Ovis aries: one gene and its partner. The protein of the gene in region 2 purifies or fractionates together with the protein of the main gene of each other region. This does not show direct contact. Links are inferred from orthologs where the notes say so. Each region holds a gene or a part of one and is shown on either strand. Other genes may lie near its edges.

The links. The genes of interacting proteins can lie anywhere in the genome.
Region 1: the proteins of WDR48 (region 2) and PPP1R9B purify together in Homo sapiens (affinity purification with mass spectrometry; 3 studies listed by BioGRID and IntAct, with this or other methods). This does not show direct contact. The link is inferred for Ovis aries from reciprocal best matches to the Homo sapiens genes WDR48 and PPP1R9B.

Annotation. Positions count from the first base shown.
Region 1 is NC_056064.1:36,237,936-36,245,213, forward strand, and holds the start of PPP1R9B (neurabin-2), read left to right. Parts: upstream 1-2,715; 5' UTR 2,716-3,325; coding exon 3,326-4,696; intron 4,697-7,278. UniProt on the Homo sapiens protein: Seems to act as a scaffold protein in multiple signaling pathways. Modulates excitatory synaptic transmission and dendritic spine morphology. Binds to actin filaments (F-actin) and shows cross-linking activity. Binds along the sides of the F-actin.
Region 2 is NC_056072.1:12,417,260-12,424,021, reverse strand, and holds part of WDR48 (WD repeat-containing protein 48), read right to left. Parts: intron 5,173-6,762; coding exon 5,077-5,172; intron 2,982-5,076; coding exon 2,876-2,981; intron 1,937-2,875; coding exon 1,849-1,936; intron 1,175-1,848; coding exon 1,139-1,174; intron 1-1,138. UniProt on the Homo sapiens protein: Regulator of deubiquitinating complexes, which acts as a strong activator of USP1, USP12 and USP46. Enhances the USP1-mediated deubiquitination of FANCD2; USP1 being almost inactive by itself.

The DNA of each region.
Region 1 (7,278 bases), on a different chromosome or scaffold from region 2:
CTTCTGTGTTCCATCCACTTTCACTTCAGTTTACCCTTACTGAGGACAGAAAAGCTAAGTAATTTGTCCAAGGTCACACAGCTAGTAAGTAGTGGATCCAGGATTTGAATTCTGGCAACCTAGCTCCTGGGCCAGCTTTGGGAACCATTCATTCTACTCTATTTCACAACAGAGCTAAGGAAGGGTTAGAAGACTACCGGGCAACCGCACAAAGGATAAAGGAGAGAGAAATAATGGTTAAATTACTCTGGGAGCTGAGTGAGGATCTCAGCCTGAGGAATGAAACTTAGGTTAAAACCCTTCAGTTTGGGCGTAACCATTCCCAAAGTAACCGTCCTCCTCACCCTCCTCTTTCTGCAGGTGTGATTACTGCCTCGGGCAGGCAGGGATGGGTGGAGAAGATAACACCCCATTCCCCACCCCTCTCACAGGCTAGCCTGCCTGGCGCCTGACCCCAGGGAAGGACAAGCTAAAGCACTCATTGCTTCATAAAAGCTGCTTTGGGAATCTTGTCTGGGGTGGTCGGGGGCGGTGAGGTGGGGGGTGGTCCACTAAGCTAACTGGGAGCCCAGGAGATAATGATTCCCTTTCCTTAGCCTCAGTCATCTGAGCTCTGGGCTGGCTCCAATCTTCCTGCATCCCAAAGTACTTAAAGGGGTTTTACTCTTGGAAGTCTCAGGACAAGAGAGACCCAAGCATCCCAACAATTAGAGTTCAACCCAAGCTGCTGCTGGAGATGTTGTTGGGGGCTGGAGCTGGGGGGTGGGGTGTCTACTGGACCTGACAGTTGGTTCTTAGCTCCTCCTCCCATCCTTAGAAGCTGGCTTCCCTACCTGGCCAGAAGCGTGGGCACAGACCCCTTGGGCTGGGATCAGTTAGAATGACTCATCAAAGGGTGTGGGAGATTCTGGGCAGAATACCCTGGGGCCTGAGCCCTCCCTCAATCCACACAAGAGCTTTTGAGGACACTGCCCAAACACTCAACTAGTGAGACTTCTGTCTCACCCAACTTCCAGAATGACGTTGGGGGTGGGGCCTGTAGGTGGGGAGGGTCAAGTCCCAGACTTGAGCTTGGAAACCCAAGTCACTGAAGCTCCTGCTCAGAGTCCAAATCTTCCCTGTCCCTTAGCCTCAGGATTGCCAGCCTCAAGATCAGTCCTGTGGCTCCTGGCCCCTCCCTGTCCCAATATTCAGGGTTCCCAGGAGGCATCCCACACCCCATCCCCCACGAGCTTTTGCACGTGCTACCCAGCTTATATCCCACAAAACCCACACACATCCCGACAGTGGAGGGAAGAGAGAATTCCTTTGAACAGCCCTTCTAGGCAAGGGGGGCGGGTGGTGGGAGATCGGAAAGAAGAGGAAGAGGATGGAAGGGAAGAGGGAGGGGGAGGAGGCAGAGGCTGCAGGAAGGCCTGAGATGCAGGAAGCAGCTGGGAGTGGGGGGAGGCTTTGTGCCTGAGGTGTTCTCTGGGTCCTAGGGTCCACAATGTTCATTATTTTCTGGGCTCTGTGGAGTGAGGCTGCGCATCTCCATCTATCATGGCCAAGGGGGTGGACCTTCACTCCCAGGCCCTGAGCAAGGGTACAGGGCAGTCTCAGGCCCCTTGTTATGCATGGGGGGTTGAGGGGAGTATCAAAACAGCTGCCAGGACAGCAGACGTAGATGTCACTGCCACCCTTCCCCTCCCTCCCTGCAGTCACACTTTCACACAGTGGCCAGAATCCTTTAGATGAGAGATAAAAGCTAGAGCTCTCACTGGTGAAACCCGGGCCCCAGGCCTCCAGAATTCCTCCTCCAAAACTCCTTCTTCCTGTTTGAGAGGCAGGAATGCCCTAGTAAGGCCCTGAAGACAGGGATTCCACCCCTCATTTCCAACCTGGGCCCAATGCAGGCAGTTGATAGCATACCCTCTTCAGAATTCCAGAGGGCAAAAGCCAGCTTCAGGCGGCCACATGGGTGATGAGGACCATTCCTTTCTTTCCCTTTCTCCTCCACCATGAGACCAGAAACATCGGGCCAAAGTTTCACACCTTAAAAAGTACAAAGGTTCCCTATTGTTAAAATGCAGATTCCAAGGCCAGCCTCTGAGATTCTGCTTCACAAAGTCTGGGGGAGGATCCAGAAATCTGAATTTTAAAAAAGTTCAAACTAGGCAGCTCTGAGAATCTTGAAAATGATCCTTTGTCCCTCCCCCATTATTCCCCCTCCACACTCAAGAGTAGAGGCCCACACTGAGGCTACTGAGTGGTTGGACTGCCTTCCCCCAATATTTAGTGAAGGGCTTCCCTGGTAGCTCAGGCGGCAAAGAATCTCCCTGCAATGCAGGAGCCTGGGGTTCAATCCCTGGGTCAGGAAGATTCCCCGGAGGAGGAAATGGCAAACCACTCTAGTATCCTTGCCTGGACAATTCCATGGATAGAGGAGCCTGGTGGGCTACAGTCCATAGGGTCGCAGAGTCGACACGACTGAGGGACTAACACACTTACTTAATATTTAATGGGGGGGTGAGGTTATATATGTTGTGAGAAGCTACAGTCAGAGGTTGGGATGGAAGGGTTGAAGAAGACTGGCCAACCACTGGGGTCAGCGGAAGGCTATGGCGAGGGCCGGTAGGGGAGGAGTATGCATTGGGGTGGAGGGGAAGGGGAGGGCTCACAGGCTCCGGTCCCGGAAATTCGATCCCTTTAGGACCCAGAGATGCCAGTCCCCCAGCGGCGGCGGCGAGAAGGGCAGCCGCTTGGTCTCCGGCAGCCGCCGCTCGGGCAGAGCCAGAGAAAGACCGAGGCTCGGGGCGCGGGGGGGAGGGAGGGAGGGAGGGTGGCGCGGCGGCGGCGGCGGCGGAGCGGCCCGGGCCGGCCGAGCAGCTATGGGCGCCCGGGTGCCGGGCCCCTGGAGAGCCAAGGCCCCCGACCGGGGTAGGGGGTGCCGGGGCTACCAGCCCCGCTGACACCGCCTCGGACGATGTGAGCGGGCGCCTCCGCTGCTGCAGGGCAAGCGGTCCCACCGGCTCCGAGCGCCGCTTTTCTAATTTGGGTGGGGGCCACCATACCAGGCCGCTCGGGCTTTGGTAGAAGGGCGGGCTGTCTTTGGCAGCTTGGTTGGGGGAGGCGATCCGCACAGGGCGCTCGGAGATTCTTTTTTCCTTTTTTTTTTTAAAGCGAGGTTAACTGTTTTGGGTAGCTTGGTTTTGGGGGGAGGCTTTAAAAAGGCCTTTCGGGGTTCCTTTTCTCTGGGGGAGGGGGCGGTGGTCCCGACTTGGCCCGCCGCCTGTTGGAAGGGGGGAGCGGGAAGCGTTGGGATGTGAACCCAGCTCCCCCCACTATGATGAAGACGGAGCCACGGGGGCCTGGGGGTCCCCTCCGGAGCGCCTCCCCGCACCGCAGCGCCTACGAGGCGGGCATCCAGGCTCTGAAACCTCCCGACGCGCCCGGGCCCGACGAGGCACCCAAGGCAGCCCACCACAAGAAATATGGCTCCAACGTCCATCGCATCAAAAGTATGTTCCTGCAGATGGGCACGACGGCGGGCGCGCCGGGTGATGCGAGCGGCGGCGCGGGCCCCACCGAGGCCCTGCGGGCGCCCGAGCGCGGCGTGCGCTTGTCGTTGCCGCGGGCCAGCAGCCTGAACGAGAACGTGGACCATAGCGCCCTGTTGAAGCTGGGCACCAGCGTATCGGAGCGCGTGAGCCGCTTCGACTCCAAGCCCGCGCCCTCCGCGCAGCCCGCGCCGCCGCCACACCCGCCGTCCCGGTTGCAAGAGACGCGGAAGCTGTTCGAACGGAGCGTCCCCGCGGCCGCGGGCGGCGACAAGGAGGCCGCGGCGCGGCGGCTGCTGAGGCAGGAGCGCGCTGGCCTGCAGGACCGGAAGCTGGACGTCGTGGTGCGCTTCAACGGCAGTACCGAGGCGCTGGACAAGCTGGACGCCGACGCTGTGTCTCCGACGGTCAGCCAGCTAAGCGCTGTCTTTGAGAAGGCCGACTCGAGGACCGGCCTCCACCGCGGGCCCGGGCTGCCCAGGGCCGCGGCCGCCGGGATTCCCCAGGTCAACTCGAAGCTGGTCAGTAAGCGGTCCCGGGTGTTTCAGCCGCCCCCGCCGCCGCCCGCCCCGTCGGGGGATGCCCCAGCCGAGAAGGAGCGCGGCCCCGGCGGGCAGCAGCCCCCGCAGCACCGAGTGGCCCCCGCCCGGCCGCCCCCCAAGCCCCGGGAGGTGCGCAAGATTAAGCCGGTGGAGGTGGAGGAGAGCGGGGAGTCGGAGGCCGAGGCAGCGCCCACAGAGGTGATCCAGGCGGAGGTGACAGTCCACGCGGCCCTGGAGAATGGCAGCGCCTTGGCAACCACCGCTAGCCCGGCGCCTGAGGAGCAGAAGGCTCAGGCGGCTCCCGAGGAGGAGGCGGCGACCGTGGCGGTGCCTGAAAAGGGGGTGGGCAATGGCCGGGCCCCGGACGTGGCCCCCGAGGACATAGACGAGTCCAAAAAGGAGGACTTCTCGGAGGCGGACTTGGTGGACGTGAGCGCCTACAGTGGGCTGGGGGAGGACTCTGGGGGCAGTGCCCTGGAGGAGGACGACGAAGAGGAGGAGGAGGGGGAGCCCCCCTACGAGCCCGAGTCGGGGTGCGTGGAGATCCCAGGGCTCTCGGAAGAAGAGGACCCGGCCCCGAGCCGAAAGATCCATTTCAGCACAGCGCCCATCCAAGTGAGTGAGCCCCCCTCCCCGCCCCCGCGCCGCCCCTGCCACGTGCGCGCAGTCGCCCCCGCCTCGCCAGCCAGCCGGCTTTGGCAGGCTGAGTCAGCCCTGTCACCCAGCCCCCTTCCCAGAAGTTACCTCCCTGAGGGGGGCGTGGGGGACTTCCAGCTGTTTGTCAGCGGGGGAGAGTATTTAGGCCTGAGATGAGGTGGCCTGCCCTGACCTGCCCTCGGGTTCCTCTGCCTGCTGCCCCACCCTGCCATGCGCCGGTCCTGGGACACCTGCTTTCCCTTCCTTTTCCAGACATTCTCCCTCCGGAGACTGCCAGAGGCCTGGGCTTAAGTGGTGGGAAGGTGTGTGTGTGTGTGTACCTGTGACCTCAGAAGAGCACCCCCGCTTTGGTCCTTACTCTGCTCTGGATCGGAGGGGCATGAGGAGCTTAGAAACACCCCTGCTTTCCTCCTGCACCAGAGCTGCACACGGGGGTGGAGGAGCCAGAAACTTCCCAAAACGAAGGTGCAGCCCCTCCTTCAAACTGGCTGTAGCCCTCACCCCAACTTTGCAGAAGTGAAAGAGGGAAGCAAGTCTCTGAGGTTGAGCTGAGCTGGGACCATGTGACTGGGGGCCCAGTTCCCTGGGGTCTGTGCTGGGCCAGCTCCCGAGGTGGGGGTACAAGGTTACATAGGCAGGCACTTTCTGTGGGTTTTGAGGAGCCTAGGCCTTCAGCAGGGTATGGAGGAGGAGGGGGTGGGGCTGGGAAACTCCCAGGTGCCTGGCAGCAGCCTCCTGCTTTTGCTCTTGGTGTTGGCAGGCACCAAGCGCTCTTGCCTCATTCTCTGGGTACCCTGAAAGGACAGAAGATCCTCCCTTTTGGGGGGCACATACACTGTTGGTGATTGGTTTGTGGGTTGTGCCAGTGCCCTCAGATCCTCAGGAGAGTGCTGGGAGAGATCCCTGGGAGAATTAAGAACCCCAGCCCCCAGTTTCCTGAGGCTTCCCTGGTGGCTCAGATGGTAAAGAATCCGCCTGCAGTGCTCTACCCTCTATTCTTGGCTGGCACATTCAGCTTAAAGACTTTTTCTCACCACCCCTAGCTCAGCTGTGCCCAAGTCCAAGTCTGCTGTATGGGGGTGTCAAGGCCAAGGAAAGTTCAGCCTTTACCCCTCCCCAGTCAAACCCCCCCTCTGTTTGATTGAAATTTCCATAACTCCTGGACACTGAAGCTGCCCATTTCCTCCCACCTGCCCCAGCATCTTAACCTCTGTTCCTCTTCCACCTCCCACCCCAGGGGGCCTGGGAAGTACAGCTCGCCACTCAGGCCAGCCCCTTCCCCCAGGCTGTGACCTCACAAGCCTTTTTGCCTCTCCTCTCCTTTTCTGAAGTGCTGGGATCCTGGAGGCAGAGAACTGAAGGATATGGGGTGTTTCTTGGGACACTGAGGATGCAAGTGGGGACCACTGAGGGGGTCAGGACACCCCACGGCCCTGCCACAGCAGTTCTCTGAACTGCCTGATCCCCTCAGAGGTAGAGTTTGGTCTTTTAGTCCTGAGCCTCTGACTGTCTATATTTGACACCTTACCCTGATTTTTGGGTAAAAAATAGCACATGATTTGGAGCAGTGCTCCCTGACTCCCTGGTGACAGTTGCTCGCCTGTGGTGTGTGGTGCCGCTTTGTGTGTCTGACTTTTGACCTTGCTGGGGATGTCTTCCTCCCCACCCAGTTTTTCCCTCTCTCTGCCCCCACCCCTGCACTGATACTAAGTCCAAGGTCTTGTGCCCCTCGGATGACCCAATTGTTGCCCACAATACAGAGGCTTCCGCTGAGGACAGAAACCTCAATTCTAGATAGTTATCTGGAGAGGGGGACTGGACCCAGGGCCCTCGGATAGGCTGGACACATGGAGGTGGGCAGTGTGAATGGTGGTCTGAGGCCTCTGACCCTCCCGCCTGAGTTTCCTGCAGGGGGCAGGATTTAATAATCTGAGAAAAGAAGGGAGGACAAAGCCTAGGACAGGCTGTGAGGGTGTTTTGGAGGTCACAGTGTGTGTCTGTGTTTGTGTGATTGCATGCGCTTACTCGTGGTGGGGAGGAGTTTGGTTGACCCAGGCTGCCACATAGACTGAGGGATGAAGAGACCCTCTCTGCTGGGGTAGAGGGTGAGGGTCAAGGGACTGGCATGCAGAAGTGGGCCAAAGCCAGTTTGCGAGATCTAGGCGCATGGCAGCCCCGTCCTGGGGCTTGGGACCTGTGTGCAGCGGGGACAAAGTCCAGTGACCTACCCACCAGTCTCATCCCACCCTGCTATGGGCTGGCTCCCATGACCTTGGACAGTGGGTCTAGCATCGTGCATTGTATGTGGACTAGGTGGCCCATTTCTCCCAGGAGCTTGGGGCTACTGGCCAGATGTCGAGAGGGCAGTCTGACTGCTGCACCATCGACAAAGAACGCTAAGGGTTTGCGCTCTTTCTCTGATGCTGTAAAGTTGAGGGCAGTGAGTTAAGTGACCATGTAGGCCCCTCCCAGCTAGAGCCCCCTGGTGGGAGCCATGGTGCTTGGGGGGGTGACACTAAACCAAGGCTGGGACACAAGAG
Region 2 (6,762 bases):
GAGGTCTGTCTGAGGTTTCAAATAAGAGTGGAAAGTTCAGCCAACCACCTAGATGTCCATATGATGTAAACCATACACTTAGATAAAGGATAAAATTAATTGGTCATCTTTGCTATGGGGATTAATCCCCTTTGAGCCTCCATGTCATATCCTCTTCGGATGTTTCCTCCAGGGAATAAGCCACAGGCCTAAAGTCAGCAATGCATCCGAGTGAGTTTCACACTCAAAGGAAGTAGTGGTTTATGGGGAGCTCAAATTTAGAGAAGACTAGAATATCCATCAGGTGTCAGACTGGCTTTAAGTTCTTGGAAGTTTATCTGGGACAGAAAACAAATTTTCTAGAAGGTTCTAGAGATTAAATCTCTTTTCATGAGGCTTTAAATAGACATAAAATTGGTCAATAGCACATAACTAGAAACAGACCTATGTGTGTATAGAAATTTAGTATATGATAAAACAGCATTTCAAATTAGTAGGAAAAGTTTAGATGATTCAATAAATTGTGTTGACACACTGGCTACCCATTTGGAGAAAGTTAGCATCTTACTTCACTTCACACCAAACAGAATAAATTCACCAAATAGAATAAATTCTAATACTTTAATGATCTAGATACAAACTATTATCATAAACATACTAGAAGAGAACACAAGAAAATATTTTTGCTACTCTGGAGTGCGAAATACCTAAGCAAGACATGAAACTCACAGCCATAAAGGATTAATCTGGTCATATAAAAATTAAAACTTTTTGCCTGCCAAAGGACATCATGAGCAAAGTAAAAATTCAATCAAGAGGCAAGAGAATGGTCAAAGGGTTAATATTCAGTATGAAGAACTATTACAAGTCAATAAGAAAGACAAATAACCCAATAGAAAGTCGAGTAAAGAATACAAACAGGCAACTTACAAAAGAAATAAAAATGGCCACTATGAAAAGATGCTTAACCTCACTGTAAGTTAAAAAAATTTAGAACAATGAGACAATATGTCTATCTTTCAGCAAAGATTCTAAGTATCCAGCATTGGTGAGGGTGTGGGGTTCTGGGCACTCACACACTGTTGGTGAGAGTGTAAACTGGTATACCCTTAGTGGAGTGCAATTTGGCAGTATCCATTGAAATTTAAAATGTGCATACCCTTTGATCCAGCAATTCCACTTCTAGGAATTTACCCTAAAAAGTACACAAAGATATATATACAAGGATGTTCACTGAAGCATTGTTTTTAACAGAAAACATTGGGTACAACCTAAATGTCCATTAATAGGGACTGGCTAAATAAACCATGGTACATTTATACAACAAAATATGCAGTCATTAAGAAGAAGTGATCCATACACTAATATGAAAAAATGTCCAAAATATATTTTTAAGTGAAAAACAAAACAAAAAAACACATCCAAGTTGTAGAACAGTACAGAACAGCAAATTCTGTGCAAAATAAAATGACCTACATATGGATCACATATATCTAGACACACATATACAGACACAAACACATACTTGTGTATGCACAGAAGAAGGTCCTGAAGGCATTAAGCTATTAATATTTACTACCTCTGGGAAGAAGAAGAGGAAGTGAATGGAAGACAGTGTTTGGAAAAGGATGGGAATTTCACCTTATTCATTTATTATTTTCTTTGATAAACACATTTTATATATTAAAAATAAAGATAGAAAGAGACATAATTATAATATTTCTCTGCAGCTTTGGAACTGCACAGAAGCAGAAGAGGATTCCACTTGGCAGTCTAGTTTCAATCAAAGATTATACAATTTAATACAGTAAATTTTCTTCATGATTTGGAAAAAAATAAGAGGACAAAGTGGGAGTGGAGGACACTTACATCCACAGTGATGTCAATTACCCATTGTGGCACCGTCTCATTAAGAAGCATGGACTCAGTCTCACCCCCAGAATCTCGGCAGAGCAGCCTAAACATAATCCATCATGTAGTAAGTGACAAAATAAGCACGGATCCCAATATCACTATCATTAAATGTTAGAGGGAGGGAGCTTATAGAGTTCATTCAGGATCACCCCCAACTGACAGCTGAGGAAATAAAGTAGAAGGCAGGCAGAATGACTCACTCTGCTAAGAGTGAAAGCAAGCTGTCAAACTCAGGCTCCCAGATTCGAGGCCAGACGGACACTGTGGCTGCCTGTTGGGGCCCCTGGGTGAGGACAGGAAGCTGGGTGTAGGCAAGGCACTTGAGGTCGCTCAGCAGAGCTACAGTGCACGGTAGTCCATGCACAACATGGGGTCAGGCGGTTTTCAGTGACCACACTCTCAGGAAATCACCATCAAGGAAGAGAATTCTGCTCTCAAGGGCAAGACAAATAGCTTTCTTACTTCTGGCCCATGGCTTTCTCCCATGACATTTCCTGGGCCTTGGCTAGCAACTTGGAGGTGAAGCCAGCCTAGCACTTGCCTGCAGGCCCTCAAGAAGGACTGCCTTGCACCTCAGGTCGAGCCATTGTTGGGCATGACAGTTCCCAGGAGCAGCCCAGTCCATCTCCCCTGGCCTGGTCTGAGGGAAGTTATCTACTCAGATGTTGTCCTGTGGGTGGGGACTTCTGGTGAAGTCATCTGTCCCTGGCAGTCTGGCTGGTTAAGTGAGAAAAAGCACTTCCTGCAGAAACTGCTAAGAAGCTGCCTTGAGGCAAGGTTATCAACCTCCACAAGGTATCAACCTCATTTTACCACTAGAGGCTCAGCTCTGAATTAAGATGGGGTCTAACAGCATCAGACACTTAACTATTTCAGGGAGGTGAAAAACCAAAACCCAGACACCCCTAGAAATTAATAGACATTTGCTTGAATCAAAACTTCAGGGCAAACAGGGTGCACTCTTAGCCCTTCCTACCCATACCTGAAGAGGGTGCGGCCTCCAGCTTCACCGAAGATCACAGGGGTGTGTGGCGGCACTTGAAAGTAGCCATTTCCTTTCTGTACTCGGTTCTCCTGCTCCCCGTTTACTAGGAAAAGACACAGATGGCGTCAGGATCCAGTCAGCGCTAACAACATGGACTCTAAACATTTTGTTTCCACAGGACCCAACCATTGCAAGACTTAAGTCAAGAAGTCCTGTAAGTCAGCTAGAGATGGAAATAAAGGTAAAAAACAAAGTGAAGTTCCTGAAAATAAGAAATACGGCAATGTGCGATATACCTCACGAGAAATGATTACATTTTAGAGGAGATTAATGTTTGAGATTTAAAACAAAAACATAACCATCTACTTCAGCCACAGGGCAGTCTAGAACAGTCTATAAACAATGATCTGCTCTTTCCTTTGGCGCTGGTGGGGTGGGGATTGGTAAAACACCAAGCACAGAGAAATTTGTGTCAGAAACAAAGTTTATATTTAATGGCAGCCACAACTAACGGTATTAGTGAAAAACAAAATCTCAAAGAGGTCATAAACTCATTTTTATTGCTCTCTGCAGATTTCATTTTAGTCAGATTTCATTTCAGTCAGCTCTCTGCAGCTGACTCCCCCTTGTTCATAACTACTTTCTGAAGGAATCTGGAAGCAATCTCACCCTCTGCAACCCAACAACACTCTCTCACAGCACCAACTCTGATCACACAATGCAGATGTAAGCGGTGCTTTGTCCAACCAGAATGCTAGTCCCTGAATGGAGGGATCCATGTCCATCTATCCCTATTATCCTCACAACTCACTTCAGGCCTCCGAATACTCGAGCTGCCCACCTCGTATAACCCAAGCAGCTTGAGGGTCCGCTGTGTGTCGTGCAGGTCCAGCAGGATTACCAGCCAGGTAGTGCGAGCCGTGTCCTGAGCTTGGCTCAGTCCTGCCCTGCCTTCACTAGGCCAATTTGATTCTAAGGATGATTTAACGTTTCCTGTGACTTATTCTTTACTCCCCCAACCGAAGTCTGCCTTCAAGAGATGCTGCCTGGGGCCCTTTGTTTCGATTACGTGGTCTTTATTGGCTCCTTGGGCCTCCGAGGGCACCGTCAGGTTATAGATGGAGAAAGACAAGTCAAGAACAGGAAATGGCATGCCCGCAGCTGCACAGCTGATAAAACGGCAGAGCCCACAGCAGAACCTAGCTTTCTCGACCCTGTGAGCAGATCTTTCCACTGACTCTGGCTCACAGTTCACTGTACAATTCAGAAGGGGAATGAAGCGAGCCAGGTGACAGAAGAAAGGCCATCATGTGTGGGGTCAGTGCTCTCTCTCAGACAGGGACATCAGGACACTGGCTTACAGAGAGGCATGCCATCCTTGCAAAACAGATTTAAACTCCAAAATTTATTCTGGATGAATCAGTCAGCCACAACAAACTCTCTGGCAGGAGGGCTTCATCACTGCTGACCACCACAAATAGGCAATCTTCAGAGAATCTTTAGCAGAGCAAGTCCTCAGTGGGGGGACTCAAGGTTATGTATCAGCTGTGATATTTTAAGTTTTTCCCCTCCTTTCTTGAATCAGACTGAGCCAAACTCATATGTTCCAAATTCTCCCGGGCTGCCCAGTGAGTTACTGCTGCTGCCTGTGGCACACACAGCTTTGGAATGTCCTCAATGACATTAATTCTTTACACATACTCAGTCACTTACCCTGGCACTTCTGAATTGGGAGCTGCTTTTTTGAGCCAATATCAGGTAGATCATCAGACTAGGGAATATCTACCTTTCAGGCCAATGTGAGGCATGCCTCACAACAACAAACCTGGCTTTCCAATGCAGCTAAATAGCTAGCTTTGGAGGTAAATCCAGCAGGTCCATGGATACCTTGAGAAATACTGTTAGAATGAACCTGCTAAGCTGCCTACTTTCAAGGACAAAGGTCACCTGAATACACAGGATTGATTCCATATACCTTGTGTAGTAATTAAAAGTTCTTCGATATCTCAGTTAAGACTGGATGGACGTTCTTTAGCATGTAGAAGGGAGGGCAATAAATTGAGCATACCCCAACTATTATGTCATACTTTAGCAAATGCTTAAAAAAATTTTTTAAAAAAATTCTCAGGATAACAATCTAAATATCCTTAACTTCAGAGTAATTTTAAAACCAATTATCCTAATATAAAAATACGAACCATGATTTACTTCATTTTCTTCTTCATCTATTGGATTCACATGTGTCCTAGGCCAATATTCTAGGAGTGCCTGGAGTAAAAGTCCTCCTAAGTTCACTGCAAGAGAGTCAATTAAAATAGAAACAAAAAAAACAGAAAAGAGAAACATTAGTTTTAACTTAAAAATAGAGGGAAAGCAATAAAAATGAAAAGCTTCCACATATTCTGATGTTACATTCTTAACCCAATGCCAAGGATGTCTAAAAGCAAGACTTTACGTATTTCACAAAGTCTATTAAAATTTCATCTTACAATGTTTAAAGCAGTGATAATATCAAGCAAACAGATATTCTATTTGGTTATTCAGATATAGCTGTTCTTTGAAAATGAATAAACAACAACTGAAATTGTATTCTTTAAAGGGCTATTTCCATATAAAGCCACTATATTTTGTATATATATCAGTTATTTCTACAGGCTACAATCTTAGAAGAATACTGATCAAAGATATAATTAATAAAATATAATAGACTCTTATGAAGATAAGTCTCTTCTCAACATACACAAAAATTAACTCAACAGGGACTAAAGAGATGAATGTAAGACTTGAAACCACAATACTCCCAGAAGAAAACACAGGCAGTAAGCTTGCTGACAATGATATTGGTGGATGATTTTTTTTGGATCTTACACCAAAAGCAAAGGCAATGAAGGCAAAAGTAAGTAAGTGGAACTATATCAAACTAACAAGCTTTTATAGAGCAAAGGAAATCATCAACAAAATGAAAAGGCAACCTACGGAACAGGAGAAAATATTTGCAAATTATTTATCTGAAATGGGTTAATATCCAAAATATATAAAAAATTCATACAACTCAATAGCAAAAAAATGGAAAAATCTGACTAAAAAATTGGGCAGAAGAGCTGAATAGACATTTTTCCAAAGAAGACATACAGATGGCCAACAGGCACATGAAAACATGCTCAACATCACTAATCACCAGGGAAAGGAAAATCAAAACCACAAGGAGCTATCACCTCACACCTGTGAGGATGGCTGTTAATCAAAAAGATGATAAACAACAAATGTCTGACAGTATGAGGAGAAATAGGAACCCCTGTGCACTACTGACGGGACCTAAGTTGGTGCAGACACCGTGGAAAACAGCATGGCGGTCCCTCAAAAACAAAACTATCGTATCTAGTACGCTACTTCTGAGAATTTATCTGAAGAAAAGGAAAACACTCATTTAAAAAGATATATGCACCCCCATGTTCATTGCAGCGCTATTTACAGAAAACCTCACTGTCCATTGATGGATGAATGGATAAAGAAAATGTGATATACACACAAAGAAATATTATTCAGTCATAAAGAAAATGAAGTCTTGCCATTTGTGACAACAAGGATGAACCCTGAAGGCCATATGGTTAAGCGAAATATGTTAGACACAGACAAAAGCCATATGATCTCACTTACACGTGGAATCTGAAACCAAAAAAGCAAAAAACCCCAGAGCTCACAGAAACAAAGAACAGACTGGTGGTTGCCAGATGTTGAGGGGCAGGCGTAACGGAATGGGCAAAATGGGTGAAGGGAGTCAAAAAGTATGTACTCCCAGTTATAAAATATATTCGTCACGGGGATGTGACCTACGGCATGGCAACTATATTTACTAATACTATATTGCACATTTTAAAGTCGCT